4 linked regions of the Schizosaccharomyces pombe genome follow. The gene in region 3 interacts genetically with the main gene of each other region. Each region holds a gene or a part of one and is shown on either strand. Other genes may lie near its edges. The genes, in order: meu10, caf1, gcn20 and vac7.

Region 1 (9,362 bases), on a different chromosome or scaffold from region 3:
TCGCTCTTTGAACATTGCTGGTACCTAGGAATAATGCATTGTTATGCTGAGCCCGGTATCTGTTGAATAAACAAACGCAATCACCATGGCGTATGCTCATGTCAGACACTTTCATCAGTGCACGTTTCTGACTTGGTTTAGAAATAACCCCTAGTCTTAAATTTTCAAGTTTGAAATACTTGGTTTTTGATTGAACCGAAAGTTGTAAAAATGTGGACCGGCCAAAACCATCATTTTTACCTTGGCCAGTATAATAAATAGTTTTTAATAGAGCATTACCCCAGACAGGGAATGAGTCAAAATTAGTGTTTTCATTATAATTTGTAAGCTGATAGGTAGATTTTGCAATATCAGTTTCAGGACTGATTAAAGCACCATCTGCATTATAGTAAAATATGTTTTTTGCAAACTTTGGATTGTCTTTGTCTTCCAAAGTTTGAGCAGAGATTTTCAAATTGTCTGTAACATTATTAAGCCATGTAGTCCCTAAAAGGTATAGCACAATGGGCGGACAAAGATATCGTCTTTCCGTTCCATAAGATTTTTGGCAAAGGGATGGCATACACAAATAAAAGGCGCTTAAACAATGGCAATTTGACAAAACATACTGAATCCGTTGTTCAATGGTGACGGGCTGGGAATAGACCATCATAGGGATAGAATCATTTCTAGCTGGCTCGCATACGGCCGATGAAGGTCTATTAACTAAAGACTTTGGATAAGTATCTTTGTTTTGGGAGTCTTGAGGATACAAGCCCATCTGCTCTGCCGATGTGGGATAAAGATTGGGAATCATGGATCCTCCGTCGACGGTAGTAGGATATTGTTGAAACGATTGATTTGGCACATCGGTTCTGGACAGGGGTTGTTGAAAATAAACAGATGATCTATCATAAGGAGGCATCATTGAAGGAGACTGCTGATAGTATGAAAGTTCTGCATGATCTTGCGAATAACTTTTTTCCTTCTCCTGGTAAGTGCCAAATGGAACACTCGGAGAATAAGGAGTAGGAAACCTTGAGGACGGAGAAGAGATGTTGCTTTGAGCAGCCTGATAATCGTTTAAAGAAATAAAAGAATTTTGATACTGACGGTAATTATTGACTGTTCCCAGTACAGAAGCTTTTTGTGGTGGTTGTAAATTTTGAGATTGAGAGGGGATGCTCTGCTTGGAAGTTGAGGCATAATATTGATTTGGAGAAGAATTACGAACAGAATCAGACGATGGAACATTGCTGTTCATGTTGACCTTTAATGCAGAGGTAGGTCGAAAAGAGGGGACCGGATGAGCAGGAATCAGAGGTTTCCGTTGTAACTCATAAGGATAAGAGAATGCATATTCATCATGATTTGGGACGGGTTGATGAGTTAGGCCTTGCGAAAGGTCATGCTGAGAAGAGAATGACGGAATAGTGGTATTAGAGGAACCATTTTGTTGTAGATTTTGATAATCTTGCATTTGGTTTAAAGATGGGGACTGAGTAGGGAGAATATTTGAGCCGGTAAAGGAATACGCATTGGGTTGAGAGGAATGGTCAGGAAGGACAGAGTAATTGTTTTCAAAAGTTGCTGGCGGATAAGGATGCATCTCATTGGAAGGATTCATCGTTGTATAAGGTGTGGAATAGGTTTGGGTGTTATCCTGTGAGTCCTCCTGAGGTAGACCAAAAGAATGAAATGAAGGATTAGCAAATGCTGTGCCATCTGCGTTCAACGCTTGAGATTCGTTTTTTTCCGAGTAATACGGACTCACTGAAGACGTGGAGTGGGCCTTGGAGCTACTGATGGCGGGTGAAACCGAGTCTCCATAGATGCGAACGGGTTCCTGTAAAGAGGTGGATTTGGCGAGTGAATACAATTGTGGAGACTCTAAATTAGCATTGATGGATCCTATTGCTGTAGCGACTCTTCTTATGTTCCTAGTTGAATCATAAAACTCCTGTGTTTTAATATCTTCGGAAGAAGGACGTTTCTGAACGTTTGGGGACATAGAATTTGACGAAGGTGAAAAGGATGCAATCTATTATATCCGTTTGGAAATTTTAAAACTTTTAAAACAAGCCTTTCACCTCTACAGCTGAATTTAAGAGATCCGTGGACGTTAAGTTTAAAAGTTCATGTACGCGCAATGTCTGGTATTTGATGAGCTGAGATCACTTAACTTTCCCTCAACATTAATTGCAACGAACAGGATGACCTATCAAGGGTAAAAAGTAAACTATTTAGCTAGCGTAAAGGTTGTTACAAAAGTGTTGTGTTTTCGTACAAAGTCAGGAACCAAATTTCTTAAGTCAATTCATTAATTTTTGTAGCAGTCCTAATCTTCCTTTTTTTTCTTTTTATTATTTACATGATTCCCTAATTCGGAGAAGTAAAATGTTAATCCGGTATTACTTGGATATACAGCCTTACGACGTTACCGAAAAATCGTTAAACAACATGTACTTTGGTTTTTCCGATTTTGCCTATAGCACGAATTGAGTGTGATATTAACGGGAATACCACTGAAAATAGAACGGCCAACAACTGTGACTTCGCAAAATTTTAACTGTTGGATGTCCAAATGGTGCAGAATGTTTTCATACCAACCACGCACGTCCACTTAGTATTCCCAGGATGGTAAATTGAAAAAATAAAATGCACGATAGGATAGGTAAGCCTCTTAGCAAGACCGAAGATTTGGCTTCCGTTGGTGACATTCGAGACTCACTTTGAATATTAAGCAGATGAAGTTTTGCCGCTTCTTAAATTCCTGATAGCAATTACGTACAAATTTTTTTGCTTGTCGGCGCCTTTTTAGGTCCGTTGTCGGTTGACACCTCAACGATGCCAATTCTCGACTTTTGAGCTTGCGAAGGAGATAAAAATGTTTTAAATGAAAAGGTTAAAAAAAAGGTTTAAGATTTTAAAAAATTTAAAGCAAGCAGTTTTCGGGAATCAAAATAATGTATGATGAGGATTTGCAGCGAATCCTAGATCCAACGGATGAGTCCTATTGATTAGTCAGTTATAATAATCCAAAGTAAGTTTTTCCAGTTATGTTCAACTTGTGCAGTTTTACGTTGACATAGCAAATGTTGGTAATCAACGAAGTAAACACTCTCAACATTCAACCAGTCAAGTTGAGCATTGTAAAATAGAGACAATCCGTGGGTCACTTATGATCAACTTTCCTCCGCAACGGACGCTATACCCCTCAATGGGATAATGTTACCTCGTGTAGAGAAAAACAATGAAAAAGTCGATCGCATGACGTTGCTGACATTGTTTACTAACATTGCAAAGTAAATAAATAAGTAAACAATTATACCAAGTAGGTTTGTTTACATTATGAAAAAAAAAAATTTTAAAGAGTTGCGTTGATTACTTTCTTGGTATTTACTCTCGTTATTTTTCGCTGTTCATTTGTGTTTGTTATTGTTGAAAGTTGTTGTTGATGGTAGGTGTGGTGCAGGCTCAAGGCCGTATTTATAAATGAATTAACGAATGTGTGAACCGCATATAGTCCATTAACATACATTCAACTTATTACTTAAGATGTTTTTAGTAATTGGGGTGTATAAACCTGAGTAACTTTTACCATATTAAGATGAGTTGGGCGGTTTCGAAATCTATAAAAGGGCATGCCAGTGAGTAAACTACCTGGAAATAACCGCTACATTTTTATTCCTTTTAACAAAAATCGTATAAATAATCCATTACGAAGAAAGACTTCGCTCTGTCCTCTTTTCTTACCCAGCATATATATACATAAACTTTTGTTATATTAGCATTCGTTTAAGGCACTTTTTCTTGTCCAAACTTTAATCAACAAGGAAATCATAAACAATTAAAGGTTCATCATTTCCAAACCCTACAAAGACCCGAATTCATTCTTCAGTATTCATAATTTCATTTCCAATCCCTTCCTGCTACGACAAAAATTTTGGTCGTACTTGATAGATTTTATTGCTTTTATTATCCCTAACAACTTTTCCCTCCTTTATATTCATTCTTCATTTATCATAAAATGCGCTTGTCTTCACGCTTTTATTTGTTTACCAGTTTCACTGCGTGGAGCGTAGTGATCGCTGGTGCAACCCCAGCGGTTTGTGGTGCCCCCGAGTACATTATTGAGACACAGAATGACTTGGACGTTTTAAGCAACTGTCAGGTTGTGAATGGCTCTATCATCATGAACACTAGCTCAGCTACTTCTTTGAATTTCAATAGAATAGAGACCATTACCGGTGATCTCATCATTCGTAATAACAACTACCTTGCATCGGTAGCCCTGACATCCATTTCCAGTGTGGGTGGAGAATTACGGTTTGAAAAACTCACACGACTCGCTAGTGTTTACGCACCTCAACTGGCAAATGTTGGCCAATTAACGATGCGTATCTTGCCAAATCTTCAAGGGATTCGATTCGATAAGGGGATCAAAAAGGCCCATAAGCTCACCATCGAGGATACCCAACTCTCCACACTTGCAGGTATTTCTTTGAATACTACGGATACGATGGTAATTGTTAACAACAATTATTTGCGAGAAGTTGATATGCCCTATTTGGAAAGTGTGGAGTCGAAGTTTTACGTCTCTTACAATGCCAGGGAGATCAGTGTTACCCTTCCTAGACTTAAAACCGTGGGTGACATGACGATTCAACGCGTAGCTCACTTACAACTTTCGAATTTAGAAGAGGTCAAAGGATTTTTAGGCTTCCTCAACAGCACGTTGCAGGATATATCATGCCCAAACATTACACGAATTGGACAGTCTCTTTTCTTTATAGGCAATCAGGAATTGACTTCGCTAAATTTCAAGCAACTTGAGAGCATTGGAGGTACTTTTATGATTGCCAACAGTGCAGCATTGGCACAAATCAAAGGATATGATAAATTGAAGACCGTAGCAGGATCCATCGACTTTACCGGTAACTTTAGCAGCGTTGAACTTCCCAAGTTACGAGATGTTAAAGGAGGTTTGAACATACAAACTACATCGAGCGACTTTACTTGTCCCTTCCGCCAGAGCGACGGGATCATCAAGGGCAAATCGTTTGTTTGCCGAGGATCGGTTGACAATCCCAGACAAAGCAAGGAGTCTTCTTTCGATGATGACGATTTTGATGAACTGTTAGGAAATGGAACAATTAAAGGCTCTAAGAACAGTACATCACCGGTCAAACAAAGTGGTGCCGCTAAGGTAGATAGCCGACCTTTCCGTCTTGTTACCTTTTTCCTTGTCTTAGTAAGTGGCTTTGCGCACTTGCTTTAAAGCCAAGAGAGACAAAGTTGACAATGTAAACGCAAGTTCATTTGCAAGATCGAAATCTACCCTTCAAAGCCATGCCGTCTATGATTAACCTGTTTCTATTTAAAAAGTAAATAAATGCTTTCAAAATAATTAGAAGGAAGATTTTCAACCAACAAGGATTACAAAAAAAAACGGCGATAAGTTTCGTTGCTTCATTTTGGATCACTTTACTATTTGCTGTTCCTTAATGGACACAGTGAAATGACGAGAAACCGGTTTTCAGTTGTTTTGTTGTGAGTATGGATAGTGAACACTTTTTCTTACCAATGGTTGGCTTTTCCTCGGTTTATTTATTTATTTTTTAGTACGGTTAGGAGAATGAAAAAAAAAAAGTATTTTTAGTGACTCCAGGTTCTATTGGCTTCTTATTTTTAAAACAAAAATATTCATCATTATTCTTACTATCACAAAACTACCAGTTATTATGTTTGTCTATCGATAACAGCACGCTACTTTTCTAGATGAATCATTTGTTTGTCTTGTTGTAGAGTAAAAGGCAATTTTTTACTAACAGTTAAACCCGCGCGTAGATGGTACTAATTTTATGCCATGAAACATATGATTTAAGTGGGATAAAAACGGAAGTACGAGAGCTGAACAATTTATCTGACAGGCATCCAAATGAATTAATATATAAACCAAGGAATGTGAAATTACATGAGTGAGTCAAGCATGCCTTTCGTCGTTTGTTTAGTCAACTAACAATTAGTGGTATTCAGAATGCAAAAAATATTTTTCTTTGTGTTGCCTCGGGTGTTTCAAGCCTTATCCATCCGAGGCACTCGTGCCTGTAAAAAATTGCAATCGGATAGAAGGAAGGTAAGGAAAGTGGATGAAATTTTTACGCGAATGCGGAGGAAGGCAAAATTTCTTGAAACAAAGTTGGTCGAACCTTGTTAAGTAGTAGAGAGTGTATATGAAGTATGGAAAAGAAAGAGAGAAAGGATGACTTCTCAACGAAAGATGAATTTGGCAATCACAAATGTTTCATATTTGGTTGTCAAGTTTAAACGACTTGCAACCGAGCCGATCACTGAAACAATTTCCAATGATCATAACTAAACGATCCTACTACTTACTGATTTGACGTAATTTGTCCTTTTGTTAATTTTTGGACGGTTTGGATCAAACATTTGAAGTTGCAAATATGATAAACTTACTGCTTGATTAAAAAAAAATAAATAAAATAAAAAAATTAATGATAGAACAACAATGATAAGAGAGCATCATTCATTATGAATGAGAATGTGTTTCATTGAAGCAATAGTTTTTGTGAACATACAAGGAGTGTTGTGATGAAAGAAAATGCAATTTGCCTTTCCAGTTTCTGATACTTCGTAAAGATGATGCTTTTTGGCTTTTGCTTTGTTTAAGGGTAACAAACTTGTGAATTGCCCAAAGCAGAGATGAATAATTTGAAATGAGTTTGCTACGAATTATCTGTATTTATGAATTAATGAAGGATGGATCTAAACCATTTAACAGGTGTAAATAAAAGCTTCATAGATTCTGTATAGTGATTAACAGTTTTTTGGAAAAATAATTTAAAAAAAAATTAATAATAATAATAATAATTTGGAAAAATAATGTTAGAATAACATACCAAAAATACCAGTATATTCAGACAATATGTTTTAAAACTTAAAAATGATTGTAGAGCAATGATTTTAATTATAGCTACGATTAGAAATGTTAAATGTTATTATAGTGTTAGTTTTGCGTTCGATTTAATTTTTGGTACACACGGGATATAACAGTTTGATTAAGCATTACCAATAGAGCAATGCAAGTTAAGAGGTTGTTTAAGCATGTTGTTGTCTAAGAGACTCACAAAAAGGTAGGTAAATGGATTTATTGCTAAACGGAAAATATTGATTTGAAAATTAAATTTTGGTCGTACATACTTTATTCGTAACAGATTTCATCAAAATTTTCACCTACAAAACATTGGAACTCAAAGTGTGACTGAATTCACAATAAGTAAATAATTACACTTCATAGCATACGATCCATTATTTTTTTATAGGTAAGGAATTTATTAAACTTTCCTTGATACCAATCCTCTTCACATAAATATTTATTTAGCGATCGCGTCGTTTTCCAGCGGACGTATGATTAATAGTTTGGTAAAATTGGTTTTTTAAAGCTTAGAACGGAACGGTTTAATATAACAAAACCACGAAACAATGGGTTTTTCGTTTTCCATCCTTTTTTAAAAAAGTTCATCACTCTCAACAGTGAATGCCACTCTCTCTCTAAAAAAAAACAGCGATTTGCTAAATCCTTTAGACAGGAATTACAGCTTCATCACGTAGTTGATATCTAGCCGTACACGTCTATTTACCCTCTCCATCTATCCTACCGTGAACTTGTTAAAAATTGGGATCGCCCGTTTTTTGTCAACAAAAACAAAACAAACTCTGTCGCAGTATTCATTAAAATGTCTCCGGATCCACACGAAAGCTTTAATGGTTATTAAAGGTTTTCATCATCCGTACATTCACTTGCTAAACAACGTTTTCAAGCTAAGCGATAGATAGAGACAGTAAAGGGGAAAACGTAAACGAACGTCTTCATTAACCAAGGTCATCCGTCTACAAAATACCCTGTACATATTCGCACCAAATTAGCGATAATGACTACAAGCGATCACAGTTGTCAAACGGGATAAACGAAATATATGCTTAATTTGATAAGACGACAAATTAAATCAAGCTCAAAAGAAGATTTATAAAGTACGCCATGCTAAAAAAAAACCCCTTGCTTCCTGACATCGTACAAAAACTAAACTGCTCACAAATATACTAAATAATAAATAAATTAGTTAACATCACCCATAAAGATATCAAATCTATTAGTTCCAAAGTCTCCTCTCAAATACAATAAATACTTTTTTTTATATATTGTCCTTGGGTCTGTAACCCACCAATATATTTTTCCTTAAGAAAAGGAATGCTTCAGTTGGTTAGTGGGAATACCGTTTTCCATTATACACTAGATGAGCGGAATAATAATACAAACATCGGAGTGCTAAACGGTGTTGAGTGGAAATTGCGTAAAAGGTTAATAATGCTGAACACCAGCATTAAAACTGATTAAAGGATGGCTTTGCTTAGTTCCTGAACGGAACAAAAACTAAAGCAGTGAAACATTTTATATTGCCTGTTTGACAAAGAAATGATACAAACTACCAACAATAAAGATAGAAACCGAAAAAGACAGATTCGAAAAACAGACCTTTTGTTGACATACTAACTTTAACGATAATATGTAAAGAATTTTTTTTTGTTGAAAGTGTCAGTAGTTTTGCAAAGAAAGAGGAAGGGATAGGAGTTTTTTAAAGTAGTATGAATTGGCATATTTTTCCCGAATAAAGAGGAAACTATTATTAAAACGATCGCAGAAAGCCTGGAAAAACTTAGGAAAAAGGAAGGAAGGAAGGAAAGAAAGTAATGAAAAATTAAAAAAAGAAGAGAAATCCTGTTATAACTTGCTGAGATAGGATGTTATACGAAAACAAACAAACAAACAAACCCTTCATTGCTTTAAAAAAAAAAGCAATGAAAATAACTTAATGAAGGTAATAGCGATCGTAGGCAATGGTTTCATCATCTGAATCGCTATCGTATGTATCACCGCTTCCATACTCATGGCTAGCTATATGATCATATTCCAACTGCAGATTTCTTGCATCCGCTATAGTGTTAGGTCCTCGCAACTCAGCATAAGATGGAGGTGCGCAAGGACCTTCTCCCGAGTTGACGCGCTGTGTAATCCAATTATACCAATCCTCAAGACCACGACCATGCAAAAAGGCAACAATGCAAATAGTCATGTTGTCACATCCGATACCGCAGGACTCGCTGTTACTAGCAATACAACGGTCCATAAGATTTTCACAAATTACTTCCAAAGACTGCCGCGCAACAATGCCTCTTCTTACAAACTCCACGACTTGTTGAGAGCTCTTGCAATCCCAAATTCCATCACAGGCCAGAATTAAAAATTCATCATCTGGATCTATGTTATGAATAACGACATCAGGAAAAGCTGTAACGATCTG
Region 2 (7,466 bases), on a different chromosome or scaffold from region 3:
TGGCCTTCATCATGGCCAGAAGAAGCAGCAAGTTTGGACAGGGCATCATCTTTTTCTTCGTTTTTGACATTAGGAGGTGGCACATACACAGACCCTATGGGGCGGCCAGTACCAGAAGAAGAGGCATTAGGGCCTAATGCAAAAGGTCCTGAGGCAGTAAGCTTTATTTCTGGTTTCGGCCTTGAAGCTTTCCATTTTTTTTGAGATTCGACGTCAAATTCTATCTTAACACGCTCATCCACATCTTTTTCTTCAACAGGCCCATTTTTTCTTCGTGGGACGAACTTCGGAGTAAATTTTCTCATATTTCAGACTCCTGATTAAAGAAAAAAATATATATAGGGCAAAATAATATAAATTTTTTGTTTTGTTATTTAATTAGTTTATTTTTTCAACTTGGTTAAACTAATAATCATTCAAAGGCGATCCAACAATTATAGTAACTTGGATGAAGAAACCTTGTCTTCTGATCAACAATTGCTTGTCTTCACGACGCCAAGGTGAATACAAGAATCACAGATTTATTGAAAAACTTTTAATTTTTGTATTTAACCAAAATACACGAACCCTCGATTGGCCTATTTGGCGTGTAATTGGTATTGGGTAAGATCTGATCTTTCCAGTGCTATATGTATCTAATGATACTGAACACTAATAGTAACTCTTGAGACATACACTTTTCAACAAATATAAATATAAAAATGGTTTGTTTTCATGTCTTTTTAATATTACTAGTTTTTAAATCAACTTTTTCTGAATACTGTTTCATTAAATATGAATATTTTTACGACTAAATATTTGACGCACAATTATTTGAATGATTCATCAGGTAGGAATAACAAGTATGAAAAAGCCAGCTCCAAGCCTTAAAAATTTTTAAACTAAAATAATTTTCTAAAATGAGTACCGCTTTTTCTTAAAACTCTATAAACTTTGGAAGGTTACTCGAACCAAACTTGGATAAACATACGAAAGAAGAGATCCGTAAAAATGCAGGAATCGGAAAAGAACCCTAATTGTGTAGCAATTTTTATTAAATAATTTTTTTAATGTAAGAGCTGCATTGACAACTGCTTACAGTAAGGTTTAAATCAGTATTTGTCAAAGTCTTCGAGTAGCTTAAATTTTAGAAATATAATATTTGTTAATTTTTGAAGGAAATATTGAATTGGTTCAATAATCAAGGCTTTTTAACAGTTCCCTGTTAAATTAAATTAAATGTTGTTATTAAAATGTGGCCGAAAATTAAATTTGATTTAAACAAAAAAAAAATTTACGAGAATTTAGATTCATTTACCTAAAGTGTTAATGATTATATTTATTGCCTTCAAAATCCCTGCGTCGAAATAAATCCGGGCCAAGATGCATTAGGCTCATATTAATACTAACTGACAATAAAATATCAAAGTGTGAAGAAAAAATTTATAAATAGGTAGCGCGAAGGTGAAAAATCATACATTTGAACATCCATCAATATTAAGGAGAAAAGTAAATATAACAAATTTTAAGGGAAATTCTAGTGCTGGTAATTCAATGCAATACTACTACTGGAAAATAGAATAAGGAATTGAACGTCAAATGGCTTCTGTATAAATTTGTTAATGTCATATTTCCATATCTTTCAAGCGGCATTAAGCCATAAGGAAATCCAATTCTAATTGAATACAGTCAGAAAAAAGAACTCAAATACTCCTTTAAGATGTCTATTTAAACTGAAATACCTGCAAACAAGTAATTTAAAAGTTAGGGAAAAAACAAATTTAATTTTTAATAGGATTTTGTTAAAATTTAGTGGTACATGTATCCTCGTTTAAAATTAACCTTATTTAACATACAAAAAACGAATATGTTGCTTATTGAAGAATTCAAAGCTGGGCTTATAAAGTAAAGAATAAATTTTGAATTCCAAATACTGCAAATTTATTATGTTTTTAATAATACACATATTTTGAAAAGAAGATAGATCGTTGCTGAAGGAGCATGTCTTCCTCTTGCGATACTAACACTAACTAAAGACAGCCATGACTCAACAATTCTTTTGAGTTGTTTGAAGGGAAAAGTAAAATCTTTCAGTTATAATGTTGCCAAATAAGAGATCAAATCTTAATAATTTAGATGAGATTGCTTAAGTTTAGGCTCATCAATTCGATTGCTGACATTAAGATACAATTACAGAAAATAGTATTTTTGAAATCTCTCACTGAGGTCTGGACTTAGTACTTACTAAAGATAACATTTCAACACTCTACAAAGTGACTCATACTTTAGCTTTCTTGCTGCTACTCTCCCTTAATAAATGAGCTTGAACGAATTAATCGTTGCAGCTTTAAAATTATTCTGTCGACTTACTAATGGCATAAATTTACTTAAAAAAATATTTTTTAGATACGAGAAGTTTATAATAAAGAACAAAAGTCAGATTGCATATTTTTTTGCCAAGTTCAAATCGTTATCCAAAGTAGCTTGGTAAGCCGACAGAAAGTCTTTGATTTAATAAATATTCCAAACAAACATATGACAGTATTGTTCCATTAAAATAACTTTAGTTTCACTTGTAGGTTAGTTAATACCTAACTTAATAGTTGACCCTTCTATGACTAACTTTTAGTTTCATCATCAATGTTTTCTCTTGTGATTAGAAGAATTCATATAAGGAAATTGTGGTATATTACAGTATTCACAATTAACGCATCTATGTTCAGCGGATTCTTCAACAATCCAAGTCTACTTACACCAAACGAAAACCTACTTTTCCAGGTTGGTTTACATTATAGCTTTGCTGTTTAAAAAACGTAATGACAGCGATGAATTCGAATTTTTCTTATCCTGCATTAGGAGTGGATGGAATCAGCTCCCAAATATCACCAATTCGGGACGTTTGGTCCACGAATTTGCAACAAGAGATGAATCTTATAATGAGTCTAATAGAAAGGTATCCAGTTGTTTCTATGGATACAGAATTTCCAGGAGTAGTTGCTAGACCTCTTGGCGTCTTTAAAAGTAGTGATGACTACCACTATCAAACTTTACGGGCAAACGTAGATTCATTAAAAATCATTCAAATTGGGCTTGCTTTAAGTGACGAGGAAGGAAATGCCCCTGTCGAGGCATGTACATGGCAATTTAATTTTACATTCAATCTACAAGACGATATGTACGCTCCGGAAAGCATAGAGTTACTCACAAAAAGTGGCATTGACTTTAAGAAACATCAAGAGGTTGGCATAGAGCCTGCAGATTTTGCAGAGCTCCTCATTGGTAGTGGATTAGTTTTGCAAGAGGAGGTCACGTGGATAACGTTTCATAGTGGATATGACTTTGCCTATTTATTAAAAGCCATGACACAAATCCCTTTACCCGCTGAATATGAGGAGTTTTATAAAATTCTTTGTATTTATTTTCCGAAAAATTACGACATAAAATACATAATGAAATCTGTGTTGAACAACTCTAAAGGTCTTCAAGACATTGCTGACGATTTACAAATACATCGTATAGGACCCCAACATCAGGCTGGAAGTGATGCCTTGCTAACCGCGAGAATATTTTTCGAAATAAGGTCGAGGTATTTTGATGGTTCCATTGATTCCAGGATGCTCAACCAGCTATACGGTTTAGGCTCAACCGGTAGCGTTTTATGGCACAACAATTCATCTACCCCACAGATTCAATTCAGAGATCTTCCAGGTGCCCATCCTAGTCCTACTCCATCTAATGCTGGGATTCCCACCACTTTAACGAATACTTCTTCGGCACCTAATTTCGCCAATTCAACATTCAGATTTCCTCCTCGTGTAGTTTAGATCACGAGCTAGTTGAAAACATACCGTTAAAAAATTGAAGTCCTTGAAAGTACTTTCGGGATGCTTGTATTTTAACTTAATATATTCTCGTTTTCTCACGTATACCCTTGCTTGAACTTGTTTACTCGATATGCTTTTCTAGATTTTTTCCATAAAATCTATACTTTGGATTTTTATATGTTTTTCTTTTTATTTAAGAGATTGGTTGGAGTTTCCCGCTAATTCAGCATAAAAGTTTTTGTATCCACTCATTTTCGTGAGGAGCATTTTCCTTCTATTTTGTTGCGATGATTTACTTTAAAATTATTCATCTTCATTCCCAGCGAAATGAACTCTCTTGCATCTGGAAGCAAAAAAAGCCTTTCATCGGGTTTTGTATTAATAGATAATATAGTCCATTTCCTTCATATACTGATAATGTATCCGTGTATTTGTAATTCGTAATAGCTTAGCATCCAACCCAGCATCAACGGTGCAAACCGGCGTAGATTTCAAGTCTGATGTTTATCATCGGTCAACTCCAATGCTTCCCCAAAACAGCTCTATGTGCATGTTGTAACAAATCTTCATGCAAGCATCAACTTTAGTTAGTAAAGCTTTTTTTTTTTTGATAGGTGCTTTATCCTGTGATTTAAAATATTACAATCTCAAAACTATTATTTTAGTTTTTAGCTTTTATTTTATCACTAAGGTTCCCAAGCCAATGAACAAAATATCACCTACCTCGTCGTCCCAACCATTTCTTGAGATACTGAAAATTTTCAATAATTCTTCTAGTTAATTTGATCAAGCATAAAAGAATTACCTAAAATTTATTTTATAAAAACTCTAAGATCTTGTTTCTCTTGTTCGACATGCAGAAACTAATTTTTTATAACCTCGCTTAAATCTAGCTTAATTAGCTATAATTGTTTTTCTATTCGCTGAAGATCGTTGTTAAAATTATCGCGATGCATCATTGGCGCGATAAAATTTATCTGATCACAGCTCTTTTAAGAATACTAAGTGTAAGTATTTTTCATTACTACCACTACCAAATCCTTCCTTTTTTAAATCCTTCTAAAATGGCGACTTTACTGCCTCCTAAAAGTAAACGTCAAAAAAAGGAGAGCTTAAATCCTACTACTATAGAAATTCCTGAAAAATTCCCGCTCGTTAACGTTCAGTTTCGGGCGTCAGATGATAGCAATGAACTGGCATCACTTTTAGTTCCTGGAAATAGTTCTGTTAGGCAATTGGAAGCCTTGTTGAACCAATTATTAGAGAATGTAAGAATGAAAGTTTTTTTTCTGTAAATGTGCTAACATAATCCTCACAGTCCGACGATCCTGTTCCGTATAATTTTGCTCTTCATCATGAAGATGAAACTATCGAAATTCAAGATAATTTATACACTTCTGTATTTCACAATGGACTTATGAAAACTGAGGATCACTTAACGTTACTCTACACTCCTCAAGCTGTATTTCGTGTCCGTGCTGTTACTCGTTGTACTGCATCAATGAATGGCCATGATGGTACCATTATATCTGCCCAATTTTCGCCTAGCACAAGCTCGAGGCTAGTTACTGGAAGTGGAGATTTCACGGCAAGGCTCTGGGATTGTGATACGCAAACCCCTATTGCAACCATGAAGGGTCACACTAACTGGGTGTCTTGCGTCGCTTGGGCCCCTGATGCCTCTATCATAGCTACAGGAAGCATGGATAATACGGTGAGTAACTTTTTGATGGATTTATGATTTTTTTGTCGCAAGTCACTAATATTTTTAGATTCGTTTCTGGGATCCCAAAAAGGGGAGCCCTATAGGTGATGCTCTACGACGCCATACGAAACCTATTATGGCACTATGTTGGCAACCTTTGCATCTTGCTCCTGACAGTGGCCCCTATTTACTAGCTTCTGGATCAAAAGACAATACAGTTCGTATTTGGAATGTCAAATTAAGGACGTTGCTTTTTACTCTCTCGGGTCATACCGCGCCAATTACTTGTGTCCGTTGGGGCGGTCAAAACTGGATTTATTCCTCCTCATATGATAAAACCATACGGATTTGGGATGCTAAAGATGTAAGTGAAGGAAATTGTACTTAGGGATTATTTACTTACTAATTTTGAAGGGAAAATGCTTGCATATTCTAAAAGGTCATGCCGCTCGTGTGAACCATCTCTCCTTGTCCACCGAGCATGTCTTGCGTTCGGGTGCATATGATCATACTGATTTTAAACCAAAAAGCTTTTCTGATGAGCGTCGTAAGGCCAAAGAGCGTTATGAGGCTTGTTTAAAACAGTCAGGAGAGAGATTGGTTTCTGCCAGTGATGATTTGCAATTAATATTATGGGATCCACAGAAATCAACGAAGCCCATCACAAAAATGCATGGACATCAAAAGGTAGTAAACCATGCTTCATTTTCTCCTGATGGACGGTGTATTGCTACAGCTAGTTTCGATAGCTCAGTTAGGCTATGGGATGGAAAAACCGGTAAATTCCTTGCAACTTTGCGTGGTCATGTTGCTGCGGTTTATCAATGTGCCTGGTCTACAGATTCACGATTGTTGGTCAGTTCTTCTCAAGATACGACGCTAAAGGTGTGGGATGTACGATCCAAAAAGATGAAGTTTGATTTACCAGGTCATGAAGATCAAGTCTTTGCGGTGGATTGGTCTCCGGATGGACAGCGTGTCGCTTCTGGAGGCGCTGATAAAGCAGTCCGTATATGGTCACACTGATATTTACGCTTTCGGTAGCATAGTTGTTGTTAAAAAATTTAGAACTAATTTCAGGAATTTGGTTTTCTTTTACGGTTTAGGTTAATAAAATGGTTTTGGCTTTTATCCTTAATAACTACTGCATTTATGATTTATTATGACATTAAAATTGATTGACTTTTAGAGGATATTATAATAGACACAAACCTAAAAAAGGTCCAAAAAACGAATTTGTTAAACAAACATTATAGCCTAAAGCAGAAAGCAAGATGCATTTTTAAAGTGTATGGTAATAACAAAAAAAGGATATGAACAAAAAATAAAAAATATTTACATTATACAGCATGCCAGTCCATGGATTACTTTATCTACTTCGTATTTGATGTTTAACCAGTCAATACGACTGTGAAGGATTTCGTAAACCTCTTCGGTATGAAATGCGCTAGAAAATCGAGAAGTATCGGTAGCCAGTTTTCCAATCTCTTCGGCGTTTTTTCCATCAATAATAAATAAATGGGCAATTTCCTTCAATGTCTTAAAATATGGTAAAAGGCTGCTTTGATGAAGAGAGTGAATGAATTCATAATACAAATTACAATCGCTAAAATGAGTCAGTTTTATAATTCTTAAACATAAGGAATAAAATCTCACCTGAGTAACTTTAGCCCGCCATCGACACTGAATTTATGAGATTTTATGTAACGTGTTAAGGAATCGAAAAGTCTCATTCCGACTTCCTTATAAAAAACATCAAGGATTTCATGATCGGCCCTTCCAACTAGAATACGCATGTGGAAACCTAAAAATTGAACCACATTTTTGGCAGCAGCTGTAGGCTCTATAGTATTCGTTATGGAACCTATAGTTTGGTCACTAAATAAATTCATTGGTGTTTTAGTTTCCAGCAAAAAATCGGCATGCTCAATTAGAACATTAATGCCTTTGTGTAATCC
Region 3 (8,388 bases):
ATTTAATACGAAGATGTAGACTTCAAAAAAAATGTACGACAAAGAACAGTTACCATATGCATTGAGATTATAAGCTACATATACTAGTGAAATACACAAGAAAGGAATTTCATTTTCTACTCAGAGATTAGGATTCATTTTTACTAGTCAAAGAAAAGAATTACTCCTCTTCGGCTTCTTCACCTTCACCACCCTCTTGTTGAGAGCGGAGACGCTTTCTCTTGCAGCGACCAGGGCGACCACCACCATATGGAGAGGAAAGAGCAAAGTCGATATGCTTTTGGGCATCCAAACGGACAACGAAGGAAGGAACATTGACAATTTGCTTACCAACACGGATGTGACGTTGGAAGATCAACACACGTGCATGATGGATGGACTTAGCCAAACCAAGCTTAAAGACTTGAGTTTGCAAACGACGCTCCAAAAAGTCCTCGATACGGAGAGCCAACACATAATCAAGCTTCATACGGGACTCATCCAAAATGCCCAAACGAACAAGACGACGAATGATGGCATTTCCCTCGAAAAGACGCTTAGGATCCTTCTCGTCAAGGGTCAAAAGCTCACGAGCAGCACGACGGATTTTAGAAAGGGTAAGTGCTACACGCCAAATTTCATGCTTATTTCTCAAACCATATTCACCAGCAAGCTTGAGCTCGGCATCTAGACGGGCCGACTCGAAGGGACGACGAGGAACCTTGTAAGTCTTGGATTGCTTACGAGGAGCAGAAGGCATTGTTTGTTTGGTGCTTTGCGCAACCTACCTTTGCTATGTATTTTCAAGAAGGCACAACAGTGACGGCTTTTTGAGATACTGTAGTATTAGGTTAGGGTTTTGTCCCATCACCATCCCGTACCGATATCCTTACTACACACTATTCCTACTAACCCTCTAGCTTATATCCTTGTGAAGGAAAAGCAGAAGTTAGATTTGTAAATAGAAGGTGTTGTTTATTTTTTCTAAAATAGAAGATCACATATGTAAGGGATACACTGTATCTTGTGAGTGCGTATTAAACTCTATTTGAAGATATTAATTGCACAATCCTGTGAGTGTTGTGCTGTTACTGTCTCTTTTTTGGTTTTTCTCTGAAATTGATCATAATTATTGACGATTTTACTTTTTTTCGAGTTTCAAAATATAAAAAACAAGTTTTTTTTTAGTAGTTCATCTTACATGGGTGGTGAACTTCTGAATACTTTAGACTATACATACAATTTAGACGTACATATACGTACTTACATAAAGAAAGAGGATTTCGATTACTTCATTTGTTTAGATAAGTCGAAAAATCTATTTTTGCTAGAATATTGATCTTTATTTTCTTCTCTCATTTCTCTCTATTTTATTTCTGAAGGATTGATCAAAAAATGGGTTTACCAGTTCATAACCAGCCCCATAAAGCACACTCGGGCTCTCCCGCATCTACCTTTTCCGCTGCTCTGGTTTCTTCTGCCATTAGCAATGTTATTGGGTATCCTCTTGACTCGATTAAAGTTCGACAGCAAACTTACAATTTCCCAACCATTCGCTCTTGTTTCCAAAACGCTGTTAAAAACGAGGGATTAAAAGGTTTGTATCGTGGTCTTACTCTACCATTGATATCAGCCACTCTATCGAGGTCAGTATCATTTACGGTGTATGATTCCTTAAAACTTACATTTGCTCATGTGGATCCTACACTTCGGTATTTCATTTCCGGGCTTGGGACTGGTACTTTTATATCACTTTTTGCTTGTCCATTCGAGTATTCAAAGTTATATTCACAAATTGACATGCTTCTTCGCAAAACAAATATGGGCCGTCGGCAAGAGACAAATTCCAAGCTAAGTGTCAGACCTCCCTTGTCATCTTTCCAGAGCGCTTCTGACATTGTTCGGAGGTATGGATTTACTGCATTATGGAATGGGTATCGTTATCATCTAACCAGAGACGCTCTAGGATCGGCTTGTTATTTTACAATATACGAAACCTTTAAGAAAAATCTGATAGCGAATGATGTGAAGCCGCATTTTGCTTATGCCTTCTCTGGTGCTTTTTGCGGCGCTTTGTCTTGGATTTTGGTATTCCCGGTGGATACAGCCAAATCCATTGTACAAAGAAATACACTCTTATCAATTAAAACCCCTTTGTCTTCCATTCCTTGGTTATCGTTTACTATATATCGAGGTATAGGTATTTCATTGATGCGAAGCGCTCTTATAAATTCTTGCAATTTTACGCTTTTTGAATTATTTCGGGAAACTAAAGTATTAAGCAAATAGTTTTATTCTAGTTTTACGAAGTCTTTGTTGTCCATTGAGTCGATAACCCGTCGGAATGCATTTCTATACATATTTTAACTTGCATTCGACTTGCGGTTGAAGTTTAATCACATTTTAGAACTGGTTTTGTCGTATATATTTAAAGTCCCATGGAATACTTTTACAATTTTTTTGATGCTATTTATTTTTTATTAAAAGCATTTTTACCTTCAAAAACTCCCCTCTCATCACTTTTCATATCATGTGCTGCTGTTAGTTTGACAGTAATTCCACTGAACTTGTTATACATTTCACGAGTTAACCGTTTCAATCTGAAAGTATATTTTCTTTTCCTCTTTTCCCTGTTTTTTTTTGTTTTGTTTTGCTTTTTACGTCCTGTTTTGGTTAATCCAACTCTTTCAATATCTGTATGTACCTACGCTTTTTTTTCTTGTATAGTTGAATTTTGTTTTGTAGATTTTTGGTAGAGGTGTAAATTGGATGAAATTTTTGAGACTAATAGTCCTTCTATTTCAGCGATTGTTTATTTGGGCATTTAAAACTTTAGCTATTAGATTTAGTATGTTTAATGTACTTTCGGACAATGCTGGCTTTCTTACTCAATACATGCTACCTAAGTGAGTTACCACTACCATCCACATATATTGTGAAGGAAGAACAATGTCTCGAATTTTGGTACGTTATACATTGCTTTTTTTAAGAATTTAGGAGCTAATATATAGAAATCACTAAGTCGTAGTTATTCGACCACCTCCCCTCGTCTTTACGGTATGAAATGACATTTTGATTTTGATGAGATTACTAATGGCAATTTAGTCGATGTAGTACAGGGTTTATATATTTCTTCTTTAAGTATGTTATTATATTCTCTTAATTTACCAATTTCTTACACGTCGTGTCTTAGAATCATATAAGCCTAAAGCTGTCCCTTCCGAAACGGCAGCTGAAGTAAAGGAATGGTCCATGCCTAGCGCTCCTACTGCTCCAAAATACGATGTTGACTTTACTTCTGCTTTAAACTCTTACAAGTATGAGGGAGAAACCATTCCCACTAAGGCTGCTGGAGAAAGCAACAAATTTGACTTTCTTGAATCAGTATGTATCTCTTCCTTTACATTGCATCAGCTAACTTTTCCTTCAGTATGAGAATGAAAAAGAACATTAAATTTATTCACTGCTTTTCCTATGCTCAATTGGAAGATGTTTGGTAATTAACTTTGATTAAATTTTGCCTTTTATTTTCCGATTATGAATTTACATTTTCATCTACGTCGTTGAGATTTGATTTTATATCTATTTCATGCCTTTGTCTGATCCTTCTTTTGATTGACCACGAACGTGGATGTATCTCTATAACTCCCGTCTCACTATGATTTATATTCTAGGTTAACGTATCCTTTTTCTGCTTTCTAAATGTCTTTGAACATAGCTGAATTCAATGCTTAGTCGTCTCTTCGATTACGGCACGAAACAGTTGTTGCCTTGATTGATAGAAAACCACTTTCATTGAGTTGAGATGTTTTTCTCTTTGCAAAGTATTTCTATTGAGTTCACATTTGGATTTTTTTTTTCAATTTATATCAACTCAATACAATTGCTTTTATTCAACAATAAGGATTAGCTTGATAAAATTTGATGTCTACTGTGGGTCATTAAAAATATCAGTAAAGTTCACAGTAGTTTTCTTGGAATTGTAATTTTTTTTCTTAAAAAAATATATAATTCACTATTATAAGGTATTTAGTATATTTTCATGCCTAGTCTCATCGTTTTGCCGATTGAGGCTTCATATATAGCAGTAGTATAACTTGCTTAGTACTATCCACCTCACATCCAACATGGAGCAAGTCATTCAGAATAATTGCTCTGAAGTAGACCCTCATGTCCTCAGCTACTGCACTGGATATGCTAATGATGCTATTAAAGATGTAGATGAGGCTTCAGACCATACGATCTCTCTCATTCGTAATTTATTGCTAGATGCTGGCGCTCGTGAGGAAGCGGTACAGCTCATACAAAACGAACTAGAGAAACAATTTAAAGAAAGAGAGGAACATCTAGATACATTACAAACGAATGGACTTGTTCGTTTGAAGGAGACTATTCGAATGGATTCCCAATCCGAAATTTCGTCAACTATGGGTTTGGTTGGCGAAAAGATGGAATTAGATGCTGTAAAGGGCCGTAAGGTTGAATCTAGGGTAGATAGAAGAAAATTAGAGAAGGCTGAACGGAAGATTCGTGCCAAATGGGAGAAACGTACTATCAAAGCAGAATACGAATCTTCAAAGTTGGTTCAACCCGAACAAAAGTCTTATGAAGAGTTTTACATGGCTGTAAATCCTCTAGATTTATCCGGAAGTAACCAAGGAAAATCGAAAGATATTAAAATTGATGGAATTGATCTTGCTTTTGCTGGTCATCGTATATTGACTGGTGCTTCGTTGACACTTGCACAGGGTAGACGATACGGTTTAACTGGTCGCAACGGTATCGGTAAATCTACTCTTCTACGTGCTCTTTCTCGCCGTGAAATTGCGATTCCTACCCATATTACCATTCTTCATGTTGAGCAAGAAATGACAGGTGATGATACACCTGCCCTACAGTCAGTTTTGGATGCCGATGTTTGGCGCAAGTATTTGATTCAGGACCAGGAAAAGATAACTAATCGTCTATCAACGATTGAAAAAGAATTGGAAGAACTTAGTAAAGACCAAACTGCTGATCAAGCTATTTCCCGTCGCCTTGAGCGTGAACGAGACGAACTTGATTTACGGTTGTTAGATATTCAAAATAAGCTTTCCGAGATGGACTCTGATAGAGCAGAATCACGCGCTGCTACTATTTTAGCTGGTCTTGGATTTACTCAAGAAATGCAAAGCCATGCTACCAAGACTTTTTCAGGTGGTTGGCGTATGCGTTTGTCATTGGCACGTGCTCTGTTTTGTCAACCAGATTTACTACTTTTGGATGAACCTTCGAACATGCTTGACGTTCCCTCAATTGCTTTCTTATCTGAATATTTACAAACTTATAAAAATATCGTTTTAGTCGTTTCACACGATCGTTCTTTCTTGAATGAAGTTGCTACTGATATTATTCATCAACACTCTGAGCGCTTGGATTACTATAAGGGTAATTTTAGTCAATTCTATGCTACTCGTGAAGAACGTTGCAAAAATCAACTTCGTGAATATGAAAAGCAAATGGAATACCGCAAACATTTGCAATCATTCATTGACAAATTTCGTTATAATGCTGCCAAATCATCCGAAGCACAAAGTCGTATTAAGAAGTTGGAAAAACTGCCGATCCTTGAAAAGCCTCAAACTGAGGAAGAAGTTGAGTTTGAATTTCCACCTGTGGAAAAAATATCTCCTCCTATCTTACAAATGTCTGATGTCAATTTTGAGTATGTTCCAGGTCACCCTATTCTCAAACATGTTGATATTGATGTTCAAATGGATTCTCGTATCGGTGTGGTTGGTCCCAACGGTGCTGGTAAATCAACAATGCTTAAGCTTCTTATCGAACAACTTCATCCAACATCTGGTATAGTTAGTCGGCACCCCCGACTTCGTATTGCATACTTTGCACAACATCATGTCGATACTTTGGACTTAAACTTGAATGCCTTAAGCTTTTTAGCTAAGACATTTCCTGGCAAAGGTGAAGAAGAATACCGTCGTCATCTTGGCGCTTTTGGTGTTAGTGGACCTCTTGCATTGCAAAAAATGATCACGCTTTCTGGTGGTCAGAAATCTCGTGTTGCGTTCGCATGCCTAGGTCTACAAAACCCTCACATTCTTATTCTAGATGAACCCACCAACCATCTGGATATGGAGTCCATGGATGCCTTGACAAGAGCTGTTAAACGCTTCCAAGGTGGTGTGATTCTTGTTTCTCACGATGTTGATTTCTTGGACAAGACATGTACCAGTATTTGGCAGTGTGACCATAATGTCGTCTCCAAGTTTGATGGAACAATTTCACAATATAAGAAATTCTGTCTATCTCAACAGCCAACCATGACTATAAAAACTTAATGGAATAGCATAGACTTAAATAATAATAATATAGCTGGCGAGGATAAATAAAATCAAATTCTTTTATCTATGAATCTGGATAAAATATGTAAACGAAGTTAACTACATTTTATACAGTAAAAGACATGAAGTGTTAAATAAGATTAAAACAGTAAATTAATTATAGCTAAGTAAGTCATAACACGGTAATGGACAAGAAACCTGGAAAGCATGCAAATCATCAACCAACACCCAAAAAATAAAGAGAACAAACCCAATCAATTAAAAAGTAAAGAGGAGGAAGGGGAGAAGAGGAGAAAATAAGGCGGACCAAGGAAATCAATAGCAGAAAAAAAAAGAATATACAGACTAGTAAACAAAAAAAGAAAGAGAAAGGAAAAAGTTAACTCATTAAATTCGTTTAGGAACTTGACTAGAAAACCTCGAAGGATTTGGAAAAAAGGACATGGGAAAAGACGTAGGGCGAGAGATTGATGGAGAGGAGGAAGATGAAGGTTGAGTTTTGACGGCGTTGAACGATTTAAAATTCTGAGAGGTGAAAGACTTTGGAGGAAGAGGAATGGACGGATAGGTATTAGAGGTTAAAGGACGCTTTGTAGAAGTATTAGTAGCGTTAGAAGAAGAACGTCCAAGGGGATGCAATTGGGGAAAGCTCCGAGAGGATGAAGTAGCTGAAACAATATGACGGGTAGCAGAGCCTTTTTGAGAAAATCACTTTTAGCTCTCGCCATTAGAGAACTTTTTGGACAATAATTACTCATGGGACGCGGACGCTTAGGAGGCCGAGCAGCTCTAGGCTCACGCTCTAAAGGAACAATTCGCTTGTTTTGTTTACTTTGCTCTAGCTTGGTGTAAGCACTTCGAAGCTTAGCAGAAGCAACGTTATAATGAGCATTTCTTTTTTTCTTAAGTTTTCCGTAGAGCCCTCTCCAATCATCAATATTGTTCAATATAGTTCGTTTTTGAAGTTCTAATCCAAAATCACGCAAAACGTGATCTTTCCACAATGGTTGAGTGTCAACTTTCAAATGAGGCGACTTTTCTTCCAAGTCTATTAAATGTTCTGGTCTAGCTTTTTCCAGGATAGGTTTTACGAGTTCGAATGGGCAATCGCCAATATCATCGATGTCGTGCACATGCTTCTGCGCGACTTGGATGCACAAATCTTTTAAAGAATACATCGCTCATATGATAGTAATTTTTAAAAATTTCAAAGAAAACGATCGAATTAGAGCTCTATAGTCTTCAATTGGAAGAGTGCTTTTACCTTATTTGAATGTAAACAAAACCAATTCAACGGGGGAAAATGTGTTTCAAAGAAGGAAAGGTCCAGAATCTATCGATTAGCTAAATTCCTTTCCTTGTTAGTATATGCGTATAAAACGCGGAGAATCTAAGTGCGAGTAAAAAAAAATTCCAGATAATTGTTTGTTTCCGACAAGTTGAAAAAGACGGCGAAGCAAACCTATTTGTTCACTTATACAAATATATTAAAAAATAATTAAAATCTTTAATTTGTTAACTCGGTAAAATCGTTAAATTATCGCTAAATAAATTTATCGACCTTTATCAAATTTTCTTCATTCAATTTACGAGTTCTCAACCACCGTTTCGTTATAAATATTTGCGTATTCAACGTTAAAAACCGTAATTATCCTTCTTGCCTTTCCGGCCCAGTGGAAGTTCCAATGACGCCGCGGAAGGGCTGCACACCTCAGTAGCGAATATGGGGAAAGAGCAAATTCATGCTTGCCACGATGACTACCTGGATGCTTGATGTAGGTGACGTGTTACTTAAGATGAAAATGTAAATACAAGAGAAGAAATGGGTCAAGAAGGCGATTAATGGATGAAAAGAGAAATTATTCATAGAAAAATTTTTCCTTAAATATGCGCTTTTATTAATCTTTCGTTTAGGTTTTTTTCTCTCGTAAATTAATTCAGATATAGGTATTTAATCAACATTGCCAATTTCAACAAGTTTTAGGGGTTACGTGCAATAGTTTTATTGTTCTATTGTTTTTTAATTCTTCTCTCAATCCTAACTCTTGAAATTTTGTCGTACAAGACA
Region 4 (7,210 bases), 1.6 Mb from region 3:
ACTTGGAAACGAGTTCATGAAACTCAACCTATAGTTACTCGACCTCTTTTGATCCCTGTCTTGGCAAATTTAAATGTTCCGCATGAAGTTCGCGTATCTTCCTTAGCAAGAGTTCAAACGCTTGAGACAACCGGTTCATTTTTAAATTCGAGTAATTCGGAAATCCGTGAAACTATAAAAAATGAGAAATACTTTAGAGTCCTTGATGCTTTTAAAATGCCTAAATTTAAGTACGATTCATCAAGAAAGGTTTTCGTTTTATCAAAACAGTCTCCTACTTTAATGGCATCTGCAAGTGCCTGCACAGATATGCTTAACCGCAGATTCAATGTTGTATATAGCCGTATTTTACGCAATGAATCTTTTCAAACACCTTCTTTCAGTGGCTCTTTCTCTCAAACAGGTACATATCAATTAACTCCTATTCGCAATTTATTAGGTCGAGCTGGAAACACATTTTTGTTGTTCGGACTCTTGACTATAGCTCCCGATGGTACCTTATGGCTGGAAGATCTTGACAGTCAAGTTCAACTAGACGTATCACAGGCAGAACAAGGGTTCGGTCTCTTTTGCCCTGGCTGCTTGGTACTTGTTAATGGTCAATTTCTAAGTTCTGGGCTATTTTTAGTTTTTGAGCTTGGTCATCCTCCCATTGAACGCCGTGATGCTTCCTTGAAGGCCCTTAATAATTTAGATATTTTGGGGTTGAATATGGATGCAAAGCAACTTGCTCTTCTCCGTCACGCGGAACAGGCATATCAGTCACAAGCTTTTGTTTGTATCAGCGAGGTTCATCTTGACAACCATCAAACTTTCTATGCATTAGAAAAAATATTCCAAAAATATGAATCCTCTGAAGCTGTGCCGTTTTGTATAATATTATGTGGAAGTTTTATGTCTTCCGCTTTCCATAATTCAGGAAGCTCAATTCAATATAAAGAAGGATTTAATAAGCTTGCAGCTTCTCTTGAGAAGTTTCCAAAAATTTGCGAAAAGACAAAATTCATATTTGTCCCCGGTCCAAACGACCCTTGGACGACAAATGGGATATCCTTAATGCCTAAGCATTCAATACCCCTTCATTTCGTAAATCGGATCCAACGCGTTTGTAAGCATACCATTTTCGCTTCAAACCCTTGCCGCATCATTTTCTTTTCTCAGGAAGTACTAATTTATAGAGACGATATATCAGGAAGATTTCAAAGGAATTCATTAAAGTTTGGGAAGACTCCCCAAGGTACCTCCAATATTAATTCTATACCCCTTGCAGAACAACAAGTGCATCAGCAAAGAAAAGTAAGCAAGTTTCTTATAATTTTTTTATGCTAATTTGTTTAGTTGGTTAAAACAGTTTTAGATCAGTCTCACCTTTCACCGTTTCCATCGAGAACACGACCAATATTGTGGGATTTTGATTATGCTTTATCAGTTTTCCCGCTTCCTAGCTGTGTACGTTATAAATCTTTTTTTTCTTTGCTAATATTTTTAGATGGGTCTAATAGATTCTGAGTCGTCGGCGTTTGATGTTCATTATGGAGGTTGCCCAACTTTTAATCCCGGTGCTCTTTTACTTGGCGTTCACTATAATTGGCAAGAAGTATTTCCAGTAAAAAAAGAAATAATTACACACAAGGAGAGAATTTAGGACTCAAATCTTTTCCTCATGTAACTGTATAATAATTGCTTAAAAAAGGCATTTCATTCATTAACATGTTAACGATTTTTAAGTTTGTTACATTTTACTGAGCCCCGAATAATAGAACGTTTATGTTAATTAAAAGATAAATCCAAGTAAGATTTCTCGTAAATTAGTAAACATTAATCAAATTAAACTATAAAATTAAGATTAAGGGTTAGTAGGAATAATTAAAAAAATATAGAAAACTCCCTACTAGAAAACAACATTTGTAAAATTCAATATCACTGCTGCGTACAACAACTTCCATGGAGGCAATCAATAGGTGCTATTAGCCTTTAAAAGAGTTGACCGAGTACACAGCATCAAAATACAGAACAACAGTTAATTTTTCCAAAAGGAGCACATAAACGATAAGGCATTAACATAATTCAAAAGGGCATAATAACAAAAGGTTAGCAAACGCTTTACAAGGCCTGACTTCATAATCAAAGAGCCGTATAAGTTGTATCTCACTTCTTATAACAACGGTTGGACTGCATAATGAAAATATACCAGAGATAGCACAACAAAACAAGCAAAGAAAAATGAAATCCATAATCTTTTATGGAGCAAGTTTCTAAGCATTTTCGTAGTAACATCACCACTTTCCTGACCAGACCTTCTACTTGTTCGAAAGGGCTCCTGAGAAGTGGAGGATAATTTTTTGTTAAGTAACGGTGACTTTGAGGTTGTAGGATTGATTTGCAAAGGCGATGTTGCCAAACCTCTAGCAGTGGTAGGACTATTACATCTAGTGTCACTACTTCCAACCATGCTGGAAAATTTTGCAGACCGTTTGGGAATCAACTTGCGACTATTACTAAGTGGGCCTCCGTTGAGCGCGTTAGTGCCTGCCGATCCATAATAAGGCACATGATTTATAGTTGGCAGCATTTCTAAGGGAAGGTTGTATGTTTGAAAAGAGTGAATGGATGCTGAAGGAGAATGTAATTCATCATCATTGGTAGGGATTAGGTTTTCGTAAACAAAATTTTCTGATTCTTCATCGTTTGGATCCTGATCAACGGCAGAGGCCACTCTTGCTGCAAACATAGCTGCTTTGGAAGTCATTACTAAAATGCATGTTAATATAATGATTGAAATAGACAAATTGTGTCCTCAAAAGCTAGCAGCTGCTAGATGCATACCATTGGGCAAACTAATTTTTTTCTTCTTTTGAGCATTTTTTTTTGTTTTAAGGGTTTCTAGAGACGCTTTTCTATCGCAACTGCTCGGAATCTGCACTTGAGACACATTCAAGACCGTCTCAGTCTCAACAGACATTTGCATAGGCTTGGGCTCCGACATATCCTCCTGATTAGCAGAATTTACGTATTTTCGAAGTTAGCTTATGAAAATATTTTGATTTTCGATATTTCCATTCCTATGTATATGTATTGGCATTCCACATTGGCAAAGGATAAATAGTGCAACATACATTTGACAAACGTCAAGTTGCCAAGCCCTACCCTAATTAAATTATTAGCTGCTAGTGCTAATAACTCCTTAAAATTTTTGACGTTAGCAAACTACTACGTGAAAACCAGGAGAACTTGTAGAACTCCCGGTTTCCTTTAAATAATCTCTGATTTTGGTTTCTTCATGTAATAGTCTTTTATTAGTACTAAAGCTTTTTATCTCCGTATTCCTCGATTTTTAGGAAAATACTGATTAGTTCAATATTTGAAAATGCTTGTTACTTAACGAACTGACCGTATGGATAATAACGACCAAATATCAAACCTTTGTCTAGGGGCTTTACAACTGCTTGCCGATCAACCTATTTCGGTTATCTCGAATGAACCATCTGAAGAACAGCGGAATGAGCACGTCCTGAAAAAATGGGAAAATAACGTTTTAAGACATTGGAAAATTCTTTTTTCTCTTTTTATGCAAACTTGTGGTGATAGTGTACAAGGAAATGCTGCCTTCTCAATCCTCAATTTCATGACTACTAATAGTTTAGTGGGACAACTATATCAGCGACTATATGATGAGTCTAATTCATTGGGCTTTATAAGTAGCCCTTTGAACGAGACAGAACATTTGTCGGAAGAAAATTTAAAAATCGAAAGCAGTATTACCTTCACTAGTGAAGAAATTGAGAAGGAAAAAGAAAATATTAAATCTGTATTACTTCCTTCAGTGCAATCTATTTCTTCTTCTTTAGAATTGTATGCGTCTAAAGAATCTGATTATAGAAGCTCAATTGAAGGTGTATTAGCTGACTTGAAGTTAGCGCGTGCCCGTTGGGAAATCGTTAGAAACGTGACACAAATACTTTTGCTCGAATCCGGCATTAGTTTCCTAGAGAACAAAAAACTTGCATATATCATGGATCTATGTGGTGATCGTGAAGACAATTATAGTTCCTATTAAAAGTCTTTATTTTGTTTGTGAACGAAAAATTTGGTATGTTTTTATGAATGTTATAAGCCCAGTGATGCTTTTTTGAATTTCTTCAACGGAGCCGTTTGTCTTATTGACATGCGATGTGGGACGATATTTGACATACTGAGGGCCAATCATTCATTTTTCTGACTTCATAATTTTTCTTACTAACCTTTAGAGTAAATGAATTCTTTATTATGAATATTTTTAATAAAAGCTCCTTTTTTACTCTTTGTAAAAATTTTAGAAACTAGAATACATAAAATTTTATTTAAAGGTACTCTAACAACAATAACGGATGTAAAGGAGAAAATTGGCGAAACCGTAAAAATAATAGATTTCTCTACAAAATGAAGTAGGGTTGGGCGTTATCGGTAAACTGAATCAAGCGGACAAACCACCGTTGTTTTTTTAAAAAAGGAAGGCTTATAATAGTCGGAGGTTTTTGGAATGAGACAATATAGAGGCGCTGATGTCAATTGTGAACATCATCAAAGGTATACTAATATATAGTAAATAGATTGTGAACAATCAAAAATTTTGCGAGCTCAGTAATTCTTTCTCCACAGTCGCAAGAAAACTGGCATCTGCTAATGTATAAAAAGTCAAGAGTCAATAGTATATACAAATCAGTTATAATTTAAAAACCGTATGGACAACAGACACTTAATTATTTTGCTTTTTAGAAGTAGTCACTTCTTTTGAACGACCGTCAAAAGCACCACGGTTACCTTTGCGAAAATTCCTTTTCATTCCATTATAATTATCGTTGGACTTCTTATCTCCCGATTTGTTGAATTTACCGGAAAAAAGACGGCGTCGTTCTTCTATGTTCAGCGTGGCATTGTTAATTTGCAAAGTTTTTTTGTTCAAAGCCAATTGCACGCATTCATGGTTGACAAAATCAACATATGCGGTGCCTTTGCGACGAGCAAACTCAATAGCCTTGACTGGTCCAAAAATGCTCATAGCAGATTTCAATGACACATCAGATGTTTCGGGAGGAATGTTCTTGACGAATACAGATGTCTCCAACAGTTCATTACTCTGAGTGTACGGCGCTGTTGGCTGCTGAGTTTGGTCAGCATTAACACCTTTAACTGTTTGACCAGTTGTAGACGCAGTAGAACTAACTGATGCTTGGGATTTCACATCAGGATGATTACGAGCTATGAGATCAGCCCAAGATTTAGGTGCTGTAGCAACATTTGCATCGCTAGCCCCTATAGCATCAGCATTCTTCGAGTTTGAAGTCAGAGCTTCATCTTGAAGCTGATTTTCCTGCTGAGAAACAAAACTTGGGACTGAGGCTTCCGTAACTTGGATAACGGGTTCTTCAGGAACAGCCAAAGTAGCTTGATTTAGACTGTCGGTCTCATTTGATATAAGAGCGGCTGTGGCAAAATTATTTTCTGTAGCAGCTGGATCCTGGTAATGGCCTTCTTCTTTTGCAGAAGGTAAATGTTCTTGAGATTGCACGCCATTTACGTAAGGTTCAGAAGCAACATCTTTTTTCTCTTTTTCAACAGCATCAGGTGACTCCTCTTCTTCCTCAACATCTTCACGCAAAAAACGGAAAATATCGTTTAAAACAAAATAACCATTTGGTTGTTCTGCAAGGAAAAATGTTTGAGCAAATTTTCTGGATAATTTCCCCTTATTAGACATTTCACCCAGGACCTGGATGACAATGCCACCATTCGAAGAAGCCAAACTGTCAACGTTTGAAATAAGTACTTTGCAATTTTGAAAGTCCAAGTCCAATATCTTGTTATGAATTTCCTAACACGTTAATAAAATGACTATTGGGCAAGACAACGATCATAGAGTTTCGAAAATCGCAAGCAGAATATCACAACCTCAAAAACTTTACATATAAGAATTGTGTTAAAGCATACCTGTTGTCCATGACAAAGACTAATACTCTCGCCTTCGTCTCCGTGAATTAAAGTTGACTTTTTAGTATAGAAACACTGTATTACAGTTAGTACGGTTCACAAGTTGAAGAAAAAAAAACTTTTGGTAAATTATGACGACCTACATGAAGACGATTGGGTTCTTTATTTAAATATGTATAATATTCTTGAACGAACATCCATCCTATCTCATCCTTTCCCAAAACTGGTTCTAATAATGTGGCATTTTCCGCAGTCATGTTTTATTTAACTGTGACAATAGCTATACAAAGAACAGAAAATCTGGCTCTAAAAGACCCAAAACAAAATTCGGTCGTGTCTTATGTTTTCCGTGCGTTGGTCTTTTTAATGTCCCATCTCCTTGCTTTCAATGTCCGTGATTACAGCATTTCGTAATTGGATTTAACGAGACTAAACGATATTTCTGTTGATCTTTTACATTCAACTTGTTCGCATAAGTAAGTTAGTTGATGGAAAGAGAGACCTTTTGGTCAGAAAATTGTTTGGTTTTTCATTTCAACAAATAACATAAACATCATATGATTTACCATAGATCAAAGTTGCATATATTTCTTTCTATTATTGTTTTGCAAATTGATTATATTAGAAACGTTAATTCATTGGAAACCACTAAACATTTTGAATAGTAATACGACTATATACTGTGCTAGAGAGATTAACCTGCTAATGATTTTGCCAAAAGTCAATTAGTTTAACAGCTTTAAATGCAATCGTCTAGAAAAATTATGATACTAAAAAGAAAGTATGCGAGCCTTTAAATCATTTAATTAACGAAAATTGAAATTACTTTCTTCTTCTTATTTACCAGCATTAAAGGGTTAAAATCTAGTGCTATAATTGCAACGTATCTTACTTTAAATAAATTATTTATTGATAAATTTTGTAAGACTCAGGAAAGTACCTATCCTATCCATTTTGTTCACTGCCATTTTGGTGGCATTAAGAAGTTTCACTCGCATTGCCAGTTATCCTCCTCCTACACCAATTCAGGTCAAAAAAGTTTCAAATCCTTTAATAGTCTTCGTTTTATAGTATTAAAATCCAAAACTTGTCTGTTAAGGTATAAACTTCTGATAAAGACATTTTGTTGCATTACTTATTCGAAAATTGAAAATTTGTCAAATACTAGAATGGCAAGATTGACTGCCCCAAGCAAAGGTCCTTCATTTTCAAATTTAAACAAACCAAATGATTTGTTGAAAGC

What was found.
Region 1: mutations in gcn20 (region 3) and meu10 together harm fitness more than expected from each alone (negative genetic interaction), as found in Schizosaccharomyces pombe (one large-scale study listed by BioGRID).
Region 2: mutations in gcn20 (region 3) and caf1 together harm fitness more than expected from each alone (negative genetic interaction), as found in Schizosaccharomyces pombe (one large-scale study listed by BioGRID).
Region 4: mutations in gcn20 (region 3) and vac7 together harm fitness less than expected from each alone (positive genetic interaction), as found in Schizosaccharomyces pombe (one large-scale study listed by BioGRID).

What each region holds. Positions count from the first base shown.
Region 1 is NC_003421.2:1,864,378-1,873,739, reverse strand, and holds meu10 (GPI-anchored protein Meu10), read left to right. Parts: upstream 1-3,644; 5' UTR 3,645-4,009; coding exon 4,010-5,260; 3' UTR 5,261-5,960; exon of another isoform or gene 5,961-6,018; 3' UTR 6,019-6,824; downstream 6,825-9,362. Other genes in the region: DNA-binding transcription factor, CBF1/Su(H)/LAG-1 family Cbf12, read right to left, coding at 1-1,990; serine/threonine protein phosphatase PP2C catalytic subunit Ptc2, read right to left, coding at 8,871-9,362.
Region 2 is NC_003421.2:1,962,176-1,969,641, reverse strand, and holds caf1 (CCR4-Not complex CAF1 family ribonuclease subunit 7/8), read left to right. Parts: upstream 1-2,787; 5' UTR 2,788-2,795; coding exon 2,796-3,803; 3' UTR 3,804-4,212; downstream 4,213-7,466. Other genes in the region: DNA-directed RNA polymerase III complex subunit Rpc53, read right to left, coding at 1-305; oligosaccharyltransferase complex zeta subunit Ost5, read left to right, coding at 2,297-2,339, 2,396-2,458, 2,609-2,787; ribosome biogenesis protein Rsa4, read left to right, coding at 4,868-5,071, 5,122-5,517, 5,576-5,872, 5,923-6,534; exocyst complex subunit Exo5-like, F-box protein Pof6, read right to left, coding at 6,844-7,114, 7,165-7,466. UniProt on the Schizosaccharomyces pombe protein: Acts as the catalytic component of the CCR4-NOT core complex, which in the nucleus seems to be a general transcription factor, and in the cytoplasm the major mRNA deadenylase involved in mRNA turnover.
Region 3 is NC_003423.3:2,052,143-2,060,530, reverse strand, and holds gcn20 (AAA family ATPase Gcn20), read left to right. Parts: upstream 1-4,088; 5' UTR 4,089-4,106; coding exon 4,107-6,317; 3' UTR 6,318-6,390; downstream 6,391-8,388. Other genes in the region: rps902 (40S ribosomal protein uS4), read right to left, coding at 161-739; ort1 (carboxylic acid transporter), read left to right, coding at 1,375-2,268; atp14 (F1-ATPase subunit H), read left to right, coding at 2,929-2,943, 2,991-3,036, 3,085-3,120, 3,173-3,363, 3,410-3,433.
Region 4 is NC_003423.3:3,651,321-3,658,530, reverse strand, and holds vac7 (protein vac7), read right to left. Parts: upstream 3,101-7,210; 5' UTR 2,987-3,100; coding exon 2,827-2,986; intron 2,752-2,826; coding exon 2,156-2,751; 3' UTR 1,734-2,155; downstream 1-1,733. Other genes in the region: DNA polymerase epsilon catalytic subunit B Dpb2, read left to right, coding at 1-1,296, 1,339-1,449, 1,490-1,645; CENP-H-like protein Fta3, read left to right, coding at 3,395-4,057; ubiquitin protease cofactor Nxt3, read right to left, coding at 4,736-5,851, 5,968-6,042, 6,111-6,224; U3 snoRNP-associated protein Utp16, read left to right, coding at 6,711-6,748, 6,815-7,210. UniProt on the Schizosaccharomyces pombe protein: Component of the PI(3,5)P2 regulatory complex that regulates both the synthesis and turnover of phosphatidylinositol 3,5-bisphosphate (PtdIns(3,5)P2). Directly involved in vacuolar membrane scission.